Linked DNA regions of Mytilus edulis. The protein of the gene in region 2 interacts with the protein of the main gene of each other region in a biochemical or structural test. Links are inferred from orthologs where the notes say so. Each region holds a gene or a part of one and is shown on either strand. Other genes may lie near its edges.

Region 1 (7,749 bases), on a different chromosome or scaffold from region 2:
CTGTTAAAAAATAAATTTCAACTGAGCAGAGAGAGAGTGTTGTTTTCTTCTGTGTCTATATCTAGTCTGTCATTTTTTTAATTTTTACTTACACCATTTTAGTTGTTTTCTAGTTTTAGCATTTTTTGTAAGACAAGGTAAGTATGAACGTATCGGAGGTTAGTGTTGTATAAAGTCATCTTAAAAATTGTATTAGAGAAAAACACAAGATTTAAATCCAGGCTCATGTGAAATGGGTTACGTTTACCACCATAGCAAACTGATTTATACGTATTATTCTGTATATATATACCAATTTTAAGGTCTGAATTAATATAGTGTTTAAAAAATAATTCAAATAAGTAGTTTTCACAACTTATTTAGTAATAAATTTAAACTAATGAAATGTTATGCTGTATAATATTTTAGTTTCATAATACAGCTTTCCAGGAAAAACCCTATTATTTATGTTTTGAATCACTTGTATGTATTTTTTATGCTTGTATTAATCCACACCCCCATCTTTGTTACGGAGGTTGATATCAAACCAGTATCTGAATGCTGATACATAGTAACACTTAACTCTTTAATGCTAGCTTTTCTAAACAATTTATTGACATTTCAAACTAAAAAAACTGTTTTCTATCAAGTTATATGTTTCTTTTAGTCAAATGAACTTGTTCTTGTCAAAATCTCCGTAACGATTCATGAACTTTCACTCAAAAATATGTTTTACCTAAACCGAATATTTTTCAACTTAATTTATTAGCTCTATACAGATAATGTCATCTTCCTTCACACCATAATGTATGTATTATACTCAACTATGAAGTTTTGGAGTCAAAATAGTTTCATTTCGAAAATTTCTATCCTCCGTAACGACATTTAAAACCTCCATAACGGACAATTCCAGTTCTTACCAACAGCAAACATATAAATGAATGTAAATATTGGAATTAAATGACAAACAAGACAACAGAATTAAACATTTTTCTTAGTAAATCGTTATCTAAAAAGAGAAAAGTCCTGTTAGAGAAAAAAAACTTTTTTTCCTTAAATTTCTATCCTCCGTAACGTAAATCAATGATGTCGTAGATATGATTGACATCACCTTTTGATATTTATTAGTGATAATTGATGAACTGATTTGGTATCTATAACAATGTAGAAGAATTTCAATTGGTATGATCGTGTTTACATGCATCTTTAGATTTTTTTATTTGCATAACCTCCGTTACATTGATGAGTCCTAAATAATCTTGAAAATGTTTGCCATAAACCGCTGTTAAAGTTATGATTGTCGTCGTAATTACACAAATTGTGTTGTAGACTATTTTAAATCTAAGAAAATGGCTGATATAACGTTTATTAAACGTTATAATGTTGTTCACATAATAGGGAAAAAACAAGTTAACCTACCTTTCTCAAAACAACATTTTTTTTCTCAAAATCTGTATTTTGTTTGTCTGTTTTCTTTATAATAAATGATGTCTGCTACAAAAATGACTTTCGGCAGTGTCGGCAGCCGCTGATACTGATAAAAAAGTCTGACAACTTAACTGTAAATAACTGCGTCACGGAGGTTATTTAAACGGAGGTTAGTTTTATTTACATTATACATGGAAATATGTAACAATATTGTTGAGTTGCTTTCTCAAAACTGATTATTGAGAAGCTTTATGGGTGCTTTCAATGAAATAATCATCATTTTGATTTGTTCTTGGTAAGTGCGTTCCAAAATACGCGTTACGTAGGTTGGATTCTTATATGCGACAATCGAAAAAAAGAGAAAGAGAAGATTTTTTTTAATTTTTCGTTTCATTGCACTAAAAGTTAAAGGCAGGATTTTAAAATTTGATGTATCAACTTTGCTTAAAGTCACTTTGGGCATGATTTCCAATCATATAAATATGTTTTGACTGTACCTAAAGATTCGTTACGGTAGGTTATACGTTTATCGGCGACATTGGTTTAATGGGTAAATCAAAGTGTATATTATAACTTTTGATTCTAAAATATTTTTGTGGATAAAAATCAATATAGTGTCAAATAAAAAAAGCAAATCTAATCATGATTTAGATGAAATAAAGTATTTTAATTCACACCGATATTTGGAGTTTTTCTTGGCGACATTCGGAATTCGTGTGATTTCCGTATATTGAATAGAAAATCACACAAATATATTTCTGATATACATCACAAAAGAATATGATTTTATTTTAGTATACATATTAATCACTTAGAACACGAAAAAGATTATCTGTGACATATGTTAAGCTTGCATTTTGTGGTTATTTGCCGGCGACACTGAAATTTTGTAATTGTACCCATTTTTTGGGAATGACTGCTTAACACTATAATACACCTTAATACAAACATATCATTGTTTGTGAGTGAATTGGTCAAGTTTATACACCAATAAATTCCTTTAAAAAGGCGTTTAATCCTGATAATAGTTTAAGTGTCACCAATATTCTCAGGTCAAGTGTCGCAGATTCCCGAAAAAAAACCCATAAGGTCCATTCTGTTATGCAGTCTATATATACATGATATATATAGAGTGTAAGGAAAATAAGACACTAGCAAGTTTTTAGGAAGCTTTATGATTTTCATTCAAAGTATGGTTTTATCATGTTTATATATATCTAAAATCAAATTATTCTGAAATTGAAAAAGAGATGAATATCAGCATGTTTATGATTAAATCTGCATTGTTCATCACTAAAATTTCCACAGTTTAATAAACTATTACTGGCTGACTTGAAGAATTTTTAACAGACTATTGACAATTACTCTTTATCCCATGGCTTTGCTGTAAGAATATCTTGTTGTTGTCTCTTGTCGTATCTGTATATTTCGTCCATACTGTTAACGTTCTCAACATTGTTTGACATTTCCCAAGTTTTAAATGCATTTTTCGCATCCATGATTATTTTTTTTAAGATTCTTGATTCTGGATTCTGATGTCAATTCAGAAACAAGGAACCATACAAAAGTCACAACATACTGGTTCAAAATTGTATATTTCTGATTTCCGTACGTTATACGGTATGTGAATTAATGTCTATTGAGATTGTTTTCTTATGATACCATTTAAGATAAAGTTAAACTACCATTATTTCAAACAACAAATCGCCACAACGAAATATAACAAAAGAATGTGTCATTCTGAATTAATTTGACAGTTAATCCCTTCGTAAAGTTTGGACAATCACATCACATGGGTATAAAAGATAAAGATATTTTATTTCCTAATCATAGGGCTCATAACAAGCATGTAATCATATACAGTAAAAATAAAAAGCCTTTCTCTCCCACTCGCATAGTGTTACACTCACACATACAACCATTTTATTTGTGCTTTTGTGTTTTTATCTCATAATTGCATGTATCAGTATGTGTTTAACTTATAAGATGCTTAACAAACTTTTGTGCTGCATGTTTATATACTGATATGAACTCTTGCTTTATATGTTTAATGTTTGTGTGCATGACTCGATATGTATGTTTTGTTTTACTTGTTGTTATGTCGGTTTTAAAAGCTCTTCAGATCTTTATTGTAATTGCTTGCTTATACCGACTCTAAATAAAGCTTTATGTCGTATGTCTAACTATCGTTCTGATTAAGGATGATTGATTTAACAGTACAACATGTAAATGAAAAATAAAATACAGATAAAAATACAGACACAAATGTATTTTTATTTTTTTTATGAGGAGTGTCAGTTGCCTACATTGTATATAAGATAAGATAAGATAAGAATTTTATTAATCTAATCAAGAACCCATAAAGGGCATCATTTTACAACACAATATGATTGGAAAAAGCAAAACAGAAAACTAATACCATACTATAACGTTATTGACAGGATCAGAGCCTGACACAACATGTGTCTTATATAACTATTATATTAAATGTTATAACAATAAAATATTATATTATTTCATATATTTTGTTTACATCTGGATCTTATTTCTAAACCTTTAATAATGTAATTTCCTAGGCACGTGAGAGTTAGTATATATAAAGTTATTGCTAATAGAGTCTGTATATAAATAAATTTGGTGTTTTTACTGTCTTCTGATTGGTTAAAATTATTAGTTTTATTTTCAATGTTGTCAATTTTCATGGTGACACGCCCACTCTGACATTGTGTATTCATACGCCATGTGTGTACGTTGTTATTGTTAATATAAAGAGTTCTTTGAGCCTAATTTTTTTTTATAGAAATTTATTTATAATGAATGGCAATAATTTATTTTGATTTTATTGAACCATAAAACTAATTTTTGACTCTTCACATTTTACATAATCCGCTTCGCGGATTATTCAATGTGAAGAGTCAAAAATTAGTTTTATGGTTCAATAAATTCAAAATGGATAATAGCCATTCATTAAATAATATCTGATTTGTACAAATTATAAACTTAAACTTTAATTAGTTTTCGAGTTTTGTCAAGAGCATAATACATTGGAACCAACTGAAAGACAATATTGTATGCGCAAATCGAGGCCCAAATACGGTTGAGAGATTCACGGCGGCAGCTCTCAAACACCGTCAACATGGTCAATAGGTCTCTCTTGTCTGTTGAATAAAAGCCAGAATTATCCGGTTCCTTACCTGGAAGAAGAAGAAGAACCTCATCTAGACCCTTATATATATCTTTATAAAAAATTTACTCCGGATTTCTCCGGATAACTAGGAAACCCAACTTAAGCAAATCAATACTTTATTACACATGTTACAACAAATATCTTTGATGAGTTTTTATTTCAGTCAAACATACTCTGACCATTAACATTTGTCCATGTGAAATGACATGAGCCAGTCTTTCTCCCATTTTATAGCTGTTACTTTCACGGTCTTCCTGAAGCTTTATTCAATCGTTTTGGCAAGTAATAGGCCGGTAAATAATCCTGTCATCTGCTTAGAGTCTTATCTGGCTGTGTTTTATGTAGTCAGGTAAGTCGTTAATACAAATGAGAATAATGTATTGGATTTTTTTTCAGATGTTGAGTTTTTGAGTAACTAACTAACTAACTAACTAATTTTATTCAGTATAAAATCCAGTACAAAAGGATCATCGGCTGAAACACATGAACACATATAAAAACATATACAAAACAAAACAACAATAAAACATAACAGCCAACAATTTTGACACTTATAATAAGCAAGAGACAAAACTCACACTTCAATATTATGAAATTATTCCCACTGAAGAATATCTAATCAAAATACATTCCCCATTTCCATTCTCAATTTTAGTCTATATATATAAGAAATCTGTTGAGAACACCAGTCTCCGAACAGTTCATTAAATATTTAAATTTATCAAAATTATCTAAATTACAAAAACATGGTATGATATTGACAATGTCATCATAAAACCTTTCTCTCTCGTCTTGATAGAGGTTGCATTCACATATAAAATGAAACTCATCTTCAATTTTGTTATCAATACAATGTTTACATATTCTTTGATCCAAAGGTGTATCATTATATCTGCCTTTTTCAATGTGTAAATTGTGGTTAGAAATTCTTAATTTTACATAATTGTCTAATATATAGTTTCGAGATATTTAACTTTGTATAAGTCTCAGGTTTATATTCCTTTTTAACTTGTAATATGTGCGTAGTTTGTTTTGCTTTTCACCTGACAAACATGAGAAAAAATAATTGCCATATCTTTCTTGTAATATCGTTTTCACTGCAGATATGAGTTTTCCTTCTGACATAGTTCCTTTATTATTCCAAACATGGTCAAAACGAATGAATTTTAGAAACTGAAAAATGTGTTTATTTAAGGTACATGGAAAGGTACAATCAACATCTTCGATTGACTTATATGCTAATTTTGAAAAATTCAAAAGAGGGTCTTTATACAAATATAGCCAGTATTTAAGAGACTGCAAAATAACAAATATAGAGATTGGATAACGACCAAGTTCTGCCATACTGGCAATATTAGAAGCATATTTAGTGACTGTTTGAGAAATGATTTAATCCATTGAGTTGGTTGATCTGAAATGTCGTATTATAGTGTTTAATCTGTAAAGTAAGTGTGTGTGTGGCACTTTATCAAATGCTTTGAAAAAATCCACAATTACTAGATTAGTTTGTATATTTCTATCATTGTTTTGAGCTAGTTTGGTGTATAAGAGATATTAATTATGATTCACATGATCTTTTTGCTCTGGGTCCGTGTTGTAGTTCATTTAGTATTTTATTTGTTTCAAGACGGTGTTTCATCATGTTACTAGCTAGTATTAGTTCAAGTTATTTACATGAAATGCAGGCAGGTGGTTACCCCTAGATATTTTGTTGTTGTTACATGTTCTAAAGAATGACTGTAGAATAATGACTGTTTTTTTGTCACGGTTTTTTTTAATTTCTGGTTACTGAAATAACATTACATTTGTCTGGGTGGAATGCCATTTTCCACGTAGTTTCCCATGATGTCAATTTGTCAAGATCTTTTTGTAATAGAGATGCATCAGAATTTCATTTCCAATTTAACTATGGTGTCATCTGCAAATAACCGCACTGTAAGACCAGTTGGGATATCGTTTATGTAGTGCAGGAAAAGACCGTGTCCAAGATCTGACCCCTGTGACTCGACTATGTCTCTGCCTGGAACAAATTTTGTTTTAACTGACTTCACACATCATGATGGTAAGTATCGGTGCAAATTATGTGAAAGTTCTTTTTTAAGTCTTGGTTTAAACAGAGACATATATACATGTGTATATATGTCTCTGGTTTAAATTATTTATGATCTGGTCCTGCTACTTTGATTTAACAAGGATTTGTATAGTAAGTCTTACTATACAAATCCTTGGATTTAAGTTTTTGTTTAAGTTTTAGTACACCTTCTGTTTTATGAATAATTTTGATGCAGTGATAGAATCTTTATATTCTCTCTCTCGTGCCGTTTTTACAAATAGTTTGAAACGTATCCGGTGGGATTTTCATTTAAAAAAAATAACATTAGTTGTTGTATGTTGTCCTTTATATGTGTTTTATGTTATTAGACATTCCTTATATAGTTCTGTACGGACATATTCTGTAAATAACTTAATCTATTTTGGACTGAAAAGGGTACCAGAATATATCGTCGGCATTTGGTCACGTGATTTGAATGGTGGACAACTGTTACAGGTGTTCCGTATTCCAACGAAACATTTGTTCATCAACAGAAATAACTTAACCTTTCTATTTGATATGTCGATTGATTGGCATAATGCGTAAAGGCAACAGGCCAAACGAAATGTTCCTTACAAGAGCTCTCGAGAAAATCTTGAGCGACAAAGAAATAAAAAAAGCTCATCACTCCCAACTGAAAAAAGCCTGTGAGGTGGCACTAGGTAAGTGAATCACATCATGAATTCTATTTCGGGTCATTTAACGTCTACGATGCTTATTTGTTATGATGGTTGAAAAAAAATTATCCGTAATTTTATGCATAGCAAAGGTTTTATAGTCTGTCTGATGAGTGATGTCTGATGACAGATGTGAGTGTACAAAAAAAATGTATACACTACAGGCAAATTTTGTTTTGAACCCAGTATTTCTGACCAATTGAAGAAAATTTACCAAAATGATATCCCATAAATACCATTTATTTTTTATTTGAGGCAGGTGCTACCTAATAAGTCATAGGATTTTACTTGTCTGTGACATCATCATGTACTTCTGATCATGTTGATCAATAGGTCATATCTGGAATCATGTCTTTCACCGGAAAAGATCGTCAATTTCGAACACC
Region 2 (7,002 bases):
AACTTAAAAAAATACCAACCAATAAAACAACTGGGGAAGAACAATATCATATGAAAGTAAAATAAATGATATGCTTTCTAGCTTAAGGGTTGCATCAAGCTGGTATTTTAAATACTTACTTAGATAATAAATAACTGTGATGATAAAAGTAACATCATCAGGTTGATTTGTCAAATTTTCTGGACTATTTCTGAACCATAACTCTGCCAAAACCAACGATGGAATCCTCAGAATAACTCCAACTACAGCCTCAACTTGTTCTCTCTGAACCTTCACCTGCCACATCATCAAATCTAGAATAAAATAACTAAGTTAAATAGTTACATTTGTTACCTTATATCTTACTTATAAGCATGATAAGGTCTTGTATTTACAAAATTATTTCAGTTGTTTTTTTTGTTAAACAGGCTTATCGTGTGATAAAATTTGAATAAGGACAATAAATTATTAATTACAAATGTCACTTATTCAAGTAGAGAATAAGAGGGACTGTATCAAGTTTTAACAAGTATGTAGCAAAATATTCATTTTTTTATTATGGGTAATACGGATACAACTAGAGGCTCCAAAGAGCCTGTGTCGCTCACCTTGGTCTATGTGAATATTAAACAAAGGACGCAGATGGATTCATGACAAAATTGTGTTTTGGTGATGGTGATGTGTTTGTAAATCTTACTTTACTGAACATTCTTGCTGCTTACAATTATCTCTATCTATAATGAACTTGGCCCAGTAGTTTCAGAGGAGAAGATTTTTGTAAAAGATAACTAAGATTTACGAAAAATGGTTCAAAATTGACTATAAAGGGCAATAACTCCTAAAGGGGTCAACTGACCATTTCAGTCATGTTGACTTATTTGTAAATCTTACTTTGCTGAACATTATTGCTGTTTACAGTTTATCTCTATCTATAATAATATTCAAGATAATAACCAAAAACAGCAAAATTTCCTTAAAATTACCAATTCAGGGGCAGCAACCCAATAACAGGTCGTCCGATTCATCTGAAAATTTCAGGGCAGATAGATCTTGACCTGATAAACAATTTTACCCCATGTCAGATTTGCTCTAAATGCTTTGATTTTTGAGTTATAAGCCAAAAACTGAATTTTACCCCTATGTTCTATTTTTAGCCGTGGCGGCCATCTTGGTTGGTTGACCGGGTCACGCCACACATTTTTTAAACTAGATACCCCAATGATGATTGTGGCCAAGTTTGGTTTAATTTGGCACAGTGGTTTCAGAGGAGAAGATTTTTGTAATAGATTACTAAGATTTACAAAAAATGGTTAAAAATTGACTATAAAGGGCAATAACTCCTAAAGGGGTCAACTGACCATTTCAGTCATGTTGACTTATTTGTAAATCTTACTTTGCTGAACATTATTGCTGTTTACAGTTTATCTCTATCTATAATAATATTCAAGATAAATAACCAAAAACAGCAAAATTTCCTTAAAATTACCAATTCAGGGGCAGCAACCCAACAACAGGTTGTCCGATTCATCTGTAAATTTCAGGGCAGATAGATCTTGACCTGATAATCATTTTTACCCCGTCAGATTTGCTCTAAATGCTTTGGTTTTTGAGTTATAAGCCAAAAACTGAATTTTACCCCTATGTTCTATTTTTAGCTGTGGCGGCCATCTTGGTTGGTTGGCCGGGTCACGCCACACATTTTTTAAACTAGATACCCCAATTGTGATTGTGGCCAAGTATGGTTTAATTTGGCCCAGTAGTTTCAGAGAAGAAGATTTTTGTAAAAGATTACTAAGATTTACGAAAAATGGTTAAAAATTGACTATAAAGGGCAATAACTCCTAAAGGGGTCAACTGACCTTTTCGGTCATGTTGACTTATTTGTAAATCTTACTTTGCTGAACATTATTGCTGTTTACAGTTTATCTCTATCTATAATAATATTCAAGATAATAACCAAAAACTGCAAAATTTCCTTAAAATTACCAATTCAGGGGCAGCAACCCAACAACAGGTCGTCCGATTCATCTGAAAATTTCAGGGCAGATAGATCTTGACCTGATAAACAATTTTACCCCATGTCAGATTTGCTCTAAATGCTTTGGTTTTTGAGTTATAAGCCAAAAACTGCATTTTACCCCTATGTTCTATTTTTAGCCATGGCGGCCATCTTGGTTGGTTGGCCGGGTCACGCCACACATTTTTTAAACTAGATACCCCAATGATGATTGTGGCCAAGTTTGGTTTAATTTGGCCCAGTAGTTTCAGAGGAGAAGATTTTTGTAAAAGTTAACGACGACGGACGACGACGACGGACGACGGACGACGGACGACAGACGACGACGACGGACGCCGGACGCAAAGTGATGGGAAAAGCTCACTTGGCCCTTCGGGCCAGGTGAGCTAAAAATAAAAGTCAACACTGCAGTCCTTAATAATTTTCAATATTATTAATTGGAGTGTTTCATTTTGATTTGTTGTTTTTTTGTGTCAATACTGATTAAGGACCACATCTTTTTTTTTAATCAACAGGGAGGATACATGTTGTCATGCTTACAATATTTTCAATTTACTCTTTTAAGCTAGATCCTATAGTTTTTGAAACAAAAGTAAATGTAAAAACTTTAAAAACTTTAAAAATTCAGGGGCAATAACTCCAAAATAGGTGTTAATATTTCAAAATTATTCATGGTAGATTATAATATTAGAACTTGTGGTAATGTGCTTAACAGTACTATTTCTCGAATTGTTTTAATTCGTAAATATTAGCCTAGACTATTCTTTGGCCCTATGACAGTCATCTGATGATGTTCATGTTGGTTCATCAAAAATCACAAACTAAGAAGAAGCAGAAAAACTCTGGTTTAAATCCATTGAAGTTTCAGAGAAGACTATTAAAGAAAAGTTTATGTATGACAAAAGGATGCAAAGTAATGGCAACAGGTTAACTTGCTCAAAAAAGATAACAGAAATATCAATCAAAATAATTTGACAAAACTAAGACCCCACCTGCTACCAGGAAAAATTTAAATAATAACAGTTGCAAAAATAGAATGGGTAGTTTCTGCAATGTATGTTGATAGGTATGAAGGATGGGAAATTTGAACTCTATATGGTAATGCACTTAAATGCAGTTTTCAAAAGTGGAAGCTAGGTCATATGAGTTCAGTGGACCGTGAAATTCGGGTAAAATCTCTAATTTGGCATTAAAATTAGAAAGATCATATCATAGGGAACATGTGTGCCAAGTTTGAAGTCAATTGGACTTCAACTTCATCAAAAACTACCTTGACCAAAAACTTTAACCTGAAGCGGGACAGACGGACGAACGGACGGACGAACGGACAGACGAACAGACGCACAGACCAGAAAACATAATGCCCCTCTACTATCGTAGGTGGGGCATAAAAATATCATAACGACCTATAAGGAGCTATCAGGATCACAGCTACCCCAGCATAAAATTGTTTAGTCACAATAGTTATGAAGGTGTCACAGACAAAAAATAAAATAGCCTTTCAAAATTATTTGGGCTTAGAAAAGTTAAGAATAAATTCAACATTGATTATAAAAGAGAAGTTATTGGGTCTTCCAGGAATATAGGACTAAATCCATGGGGACAATGCCAGCTGTCAGCTAGTTTCAACATTTTACAAGCACTGTCATTTTGGTATTTGATATGAAACAAAATCATATGATATAATGTAGGAATTTTAAACTATTTACTGTTGTTATATTATGGCCTAAGGATACTTTCAGGTGGTTGAAATTCTGCTGTCTGCTTTGATCTATAATTTACATTAATATACAAAACAAATGACGGATGAGGACCTGTTTATCTTTTGTATTCATTTTTTATTCTAACCTCAATTTTGTAAAACAAACTAATCTTCTTTTAAAAATTAACATTGATAAACAACTGTTTCATCTTAAGAACATAGTGAGTGATCTGATTTGATTACAAGCAGCCTGGATTAATAAATAGTGTTGTCTTCTAAGTGCTGCAAATCATCACTACAACGAGCAAGAAAACACCGGAAGTTAATATTTGACAGATCGATCATGTCGTATTTCGGAAAATTTAAACATTTTTCCAATGTTTTGATACGAATACCACCTCTATTTATTATTGATAGTTTGTTGAATGGTTCATTGTTGAAAGTTGTATACCAGAGTGTTCATCCAGAGTATAGTTTGTATCCAATAACCACATGGACACAGTTGTTTCAATGGCTAGCTACGTCTTTCACCAGTGCGTACAACTTGATACTGTTATACAATGTTTATACAGTTGCAATACAATGTCAACTAGTTATCTATTGTTTGTTTTTTTTTTTTTTTTTAAAGATATTTTCATACATCCCTTGTTTCTTTTGAAAATACTTCAAGGAAAAAATCACTTTGGAGATAAGTAAACATCTTTTAAAAATATGTTCAAGTTTAAAAGCTTTCTTTCAAGGCAGTGTCTGTGGGTAAGAATAGTCAAATTGCCATTCGTAGTCTATGCATACCCACATCCGGTGTTATAATAAAATACCATCGGATCGGAAATGAAATGTGCACAATAATTTTCAATAATATGGGGATTTCATGTACAACGAGTGAAGTGAATGAAAAATAATATTTTCAAATTGTATTTATTAGATAATAATACACAATAAACATTGCAAATTAAATGTACACTGAAGAAAAATGAAACTATACAGTCCCTGTAAAAGAAAAACATGATAAAAATTAATACATGTACATGTAATACTAGTATAAAACATGTAAAATGTAATTGCAAATTTAAAGAATTAAATTTTACTGGATTTAGAAAATATCCATATGAGATTTTAAAATAATCTTTAAGTAAAAATGTAAAACAAAAATGGAAATTTAAAAACTACTTAAATTAAAGCTTGGATGTCTATATAAAAATTAAAGAAGCAAGCAATAATATTTAATAATGTCAAATTAAACCAATTTTGTCCATCTTTAAATTAGTCACGCCAAGTCTAAAGTAGTCCGTGCCTAATTTCAATGTTTGTAGTTTGATATCTATTTATATATTGAGCAGTTATCTCATCTTATTAAAAACATTTATCATTTATATGTTTTGTAGTTTAGTGTGATTTTCCATTTTCTTTGAACTACTCAACTAGTACACATTTTGTCATGGGCCAGGCGAATCCTGCCTCTGTGTGTAGGATTTTCTTGCTGTGTTGAAGACCCATTGGTGGCCTTGGTTGCTTTCTGCTCTTTGGTTGAGTTGTTGTCTCTTTGACATATTCCCCATTTGATTTTCTATTCTCAATTTTATTTAAAACAAAGAAATACATAATAAAAGCAAGTCGTTACATAACATGATTAAATATAAGCATTCATGAAAGTAAATACAATATAAATGACATTATAAAGTTCACTTTGTATTTCTATGCTCAAATATTAGATTAGAAAAGTAAGCAATCATAGGTTGTATACAAAATGTATATATTTCAGTTATTTATGTTGAACATCTTCTTGCCTTTTAATCCAATCAGGAATGGTGTTTATTTAAGGTGGTTCATTGCATGGTTATATTACATGTATATATATAGATTTCCTCGATAATAGTTCTTCTTCTTCACCAGATTGTATATTTTTCGCATTTCCATGATTTTTTCAAAAATGTTATTAAAAGAATGGGTCATGTCCTGTTTTTCAAGCTACAAATCTTTTAAAGTTGCCCAAATTTGCAAAGATTGTTTGTGACAAAACACTTGTTTTGTTAATTGAAAGAAAGTTGTGAGATAAAATTTTGGAAATAACTTATAACTTGATAGGTTTTAAAATATATGCTTTAAGAAAATAAAAAGAAAAAATAGTGTCACCTTTTTTTCTTGCTAAAAGAAAAAAATGAAAATTTCTCCAACATTCACTGTCATTCCTTGATTAAAAAAATATTCAACATTTGAGTTATCTCCCCATAAAAGGCTAAGTTGACAATTTGTATAGAACAAACACAAACATTTGGTATTTGATTAGATCAATCTATATACATTGTAATGCAATAATTATAAATTACTTGTTTTTCTTTAATCAAAATATTAAAATGTTCTCTTTCTTAATTTTTTCTCCCTCAGCTGCTTAATCATGTTAATGGTGACCTCTATTTTTGTCACACTTGCAACACACAGAAAGCTGTCTAAGTAACTGTTATTCTGAATTGATTATAAGCAATAAGGTGTGTACGGTTCCTGTCTCATTAATGTATAGGCCATGTCTTCTTTTATTCAGATTTACTAAAAACACCATCAACTCTGTCTTTGACAACTAATTTTGAAAAAGATATAAAGGAGTACTACAATAATAGGACTAATTTAGTTTTTGAACAGCCACATTTGTGCTTGCGTGCATGTACCTGATAGGGTTCATCTGATCGTGACCTTATTTACAAACATTAATGATAATGTATTTAGTATATATATACTAGAACACACCTGTGATATCGCGGGTCCGTGGATGAATTAAAGTATATATCTATGCGTAAGCCTTATTTTAGTATTGGTATTGTCATCTGATAAAGTCATGTCAATTATAAGATACACAGTTTTCTCTGCTTTCAAAATCTTTGTTTGAACCCGTCAACCTGGAACTTATCAATTATTGGTAATATTAATTATTTGGAAAACAAAAGGTCCTGGAATGGAGTATTTTTTAATCAACAGTATTGTCCTATATTAGTTATAAATAAGGTTGAGTTCTTTTATTCGCTGTTTTACATCATGCCCGTTCAAAAATTGAAAACTGTACCTATATATACGCATTATCATAAAAGTCCAGATTTTTAGTATTCATATTGTTATGTAAGAAAGTCTTACTGATTAAAATACTACAATAGGGAACAATTTGACAATGATTGAATTTAGAAGGGTCAACCCTGTGATTATGACCCGTGTATAAAGCAAATCCTAAATACATCGTTTGGTGGTGCGCCTTTCAGATGCGGAACGTACAGATAAGATAAGGTAATAGGTAACAGGTGAATATACTATTCGTATC

Evidence for each region. The genes of interacting proteins can lie anywhere in the genome.
Region 1: the proteins of protein TRC8 homolog (region 2) and COP9 signalosome complex subunit 5 form a complex in vitro, tested with the Drosophila melanogaster proteins (2 studies listed by BioGRID). The link is inferred for Mytilus edulis from reciprocal best matches to the Drosophila melanogaster genes Trc8 and CSN5.

The regions. Positions count from the first base shown.
Region 1 is NC_092344.1:10,559,491-10,567,239, reverse strand, and holds the start of COP9 signalosome complex subunit 5, read right to left. Parts: upstream 3,018-7,749; 5' UTR 2,907-3,017; coding exon 2,773-2,906; intron 1-2,772. Other genes in the region: brefeldin A-inhibited guanine nucleotide-exchange protein 1-like, read left to right, coding at 7,225-7,348. UniProt on the Drosophila melanogaster protein: Probable protease subunit of the COP9 signalosome complex (CSN), a complex involved in various cellular and developmental processes.
Region 2 is NC_092347.1:69,540,590-69,547,591, reverse strand, and holds the start of protein TRC8 homolog, read left to right. Parts: upstream 1-3,995; 5' UTR 3,996-4,041; coding exon 4,042-4,231; intron 4,232-7,002. Other genes in the region: RING finger protein 145-like, read right to left, coding at 120-288. UniProt on the Drosophila melanogaster protein: Plays a role in growth inhibition that is dependent upon COP9 signalosome subunits CSN5 and CSN6. May modulate signalosome levels or compartmentalization. Probably functions in the same or a related pathway to VHL during early midline development.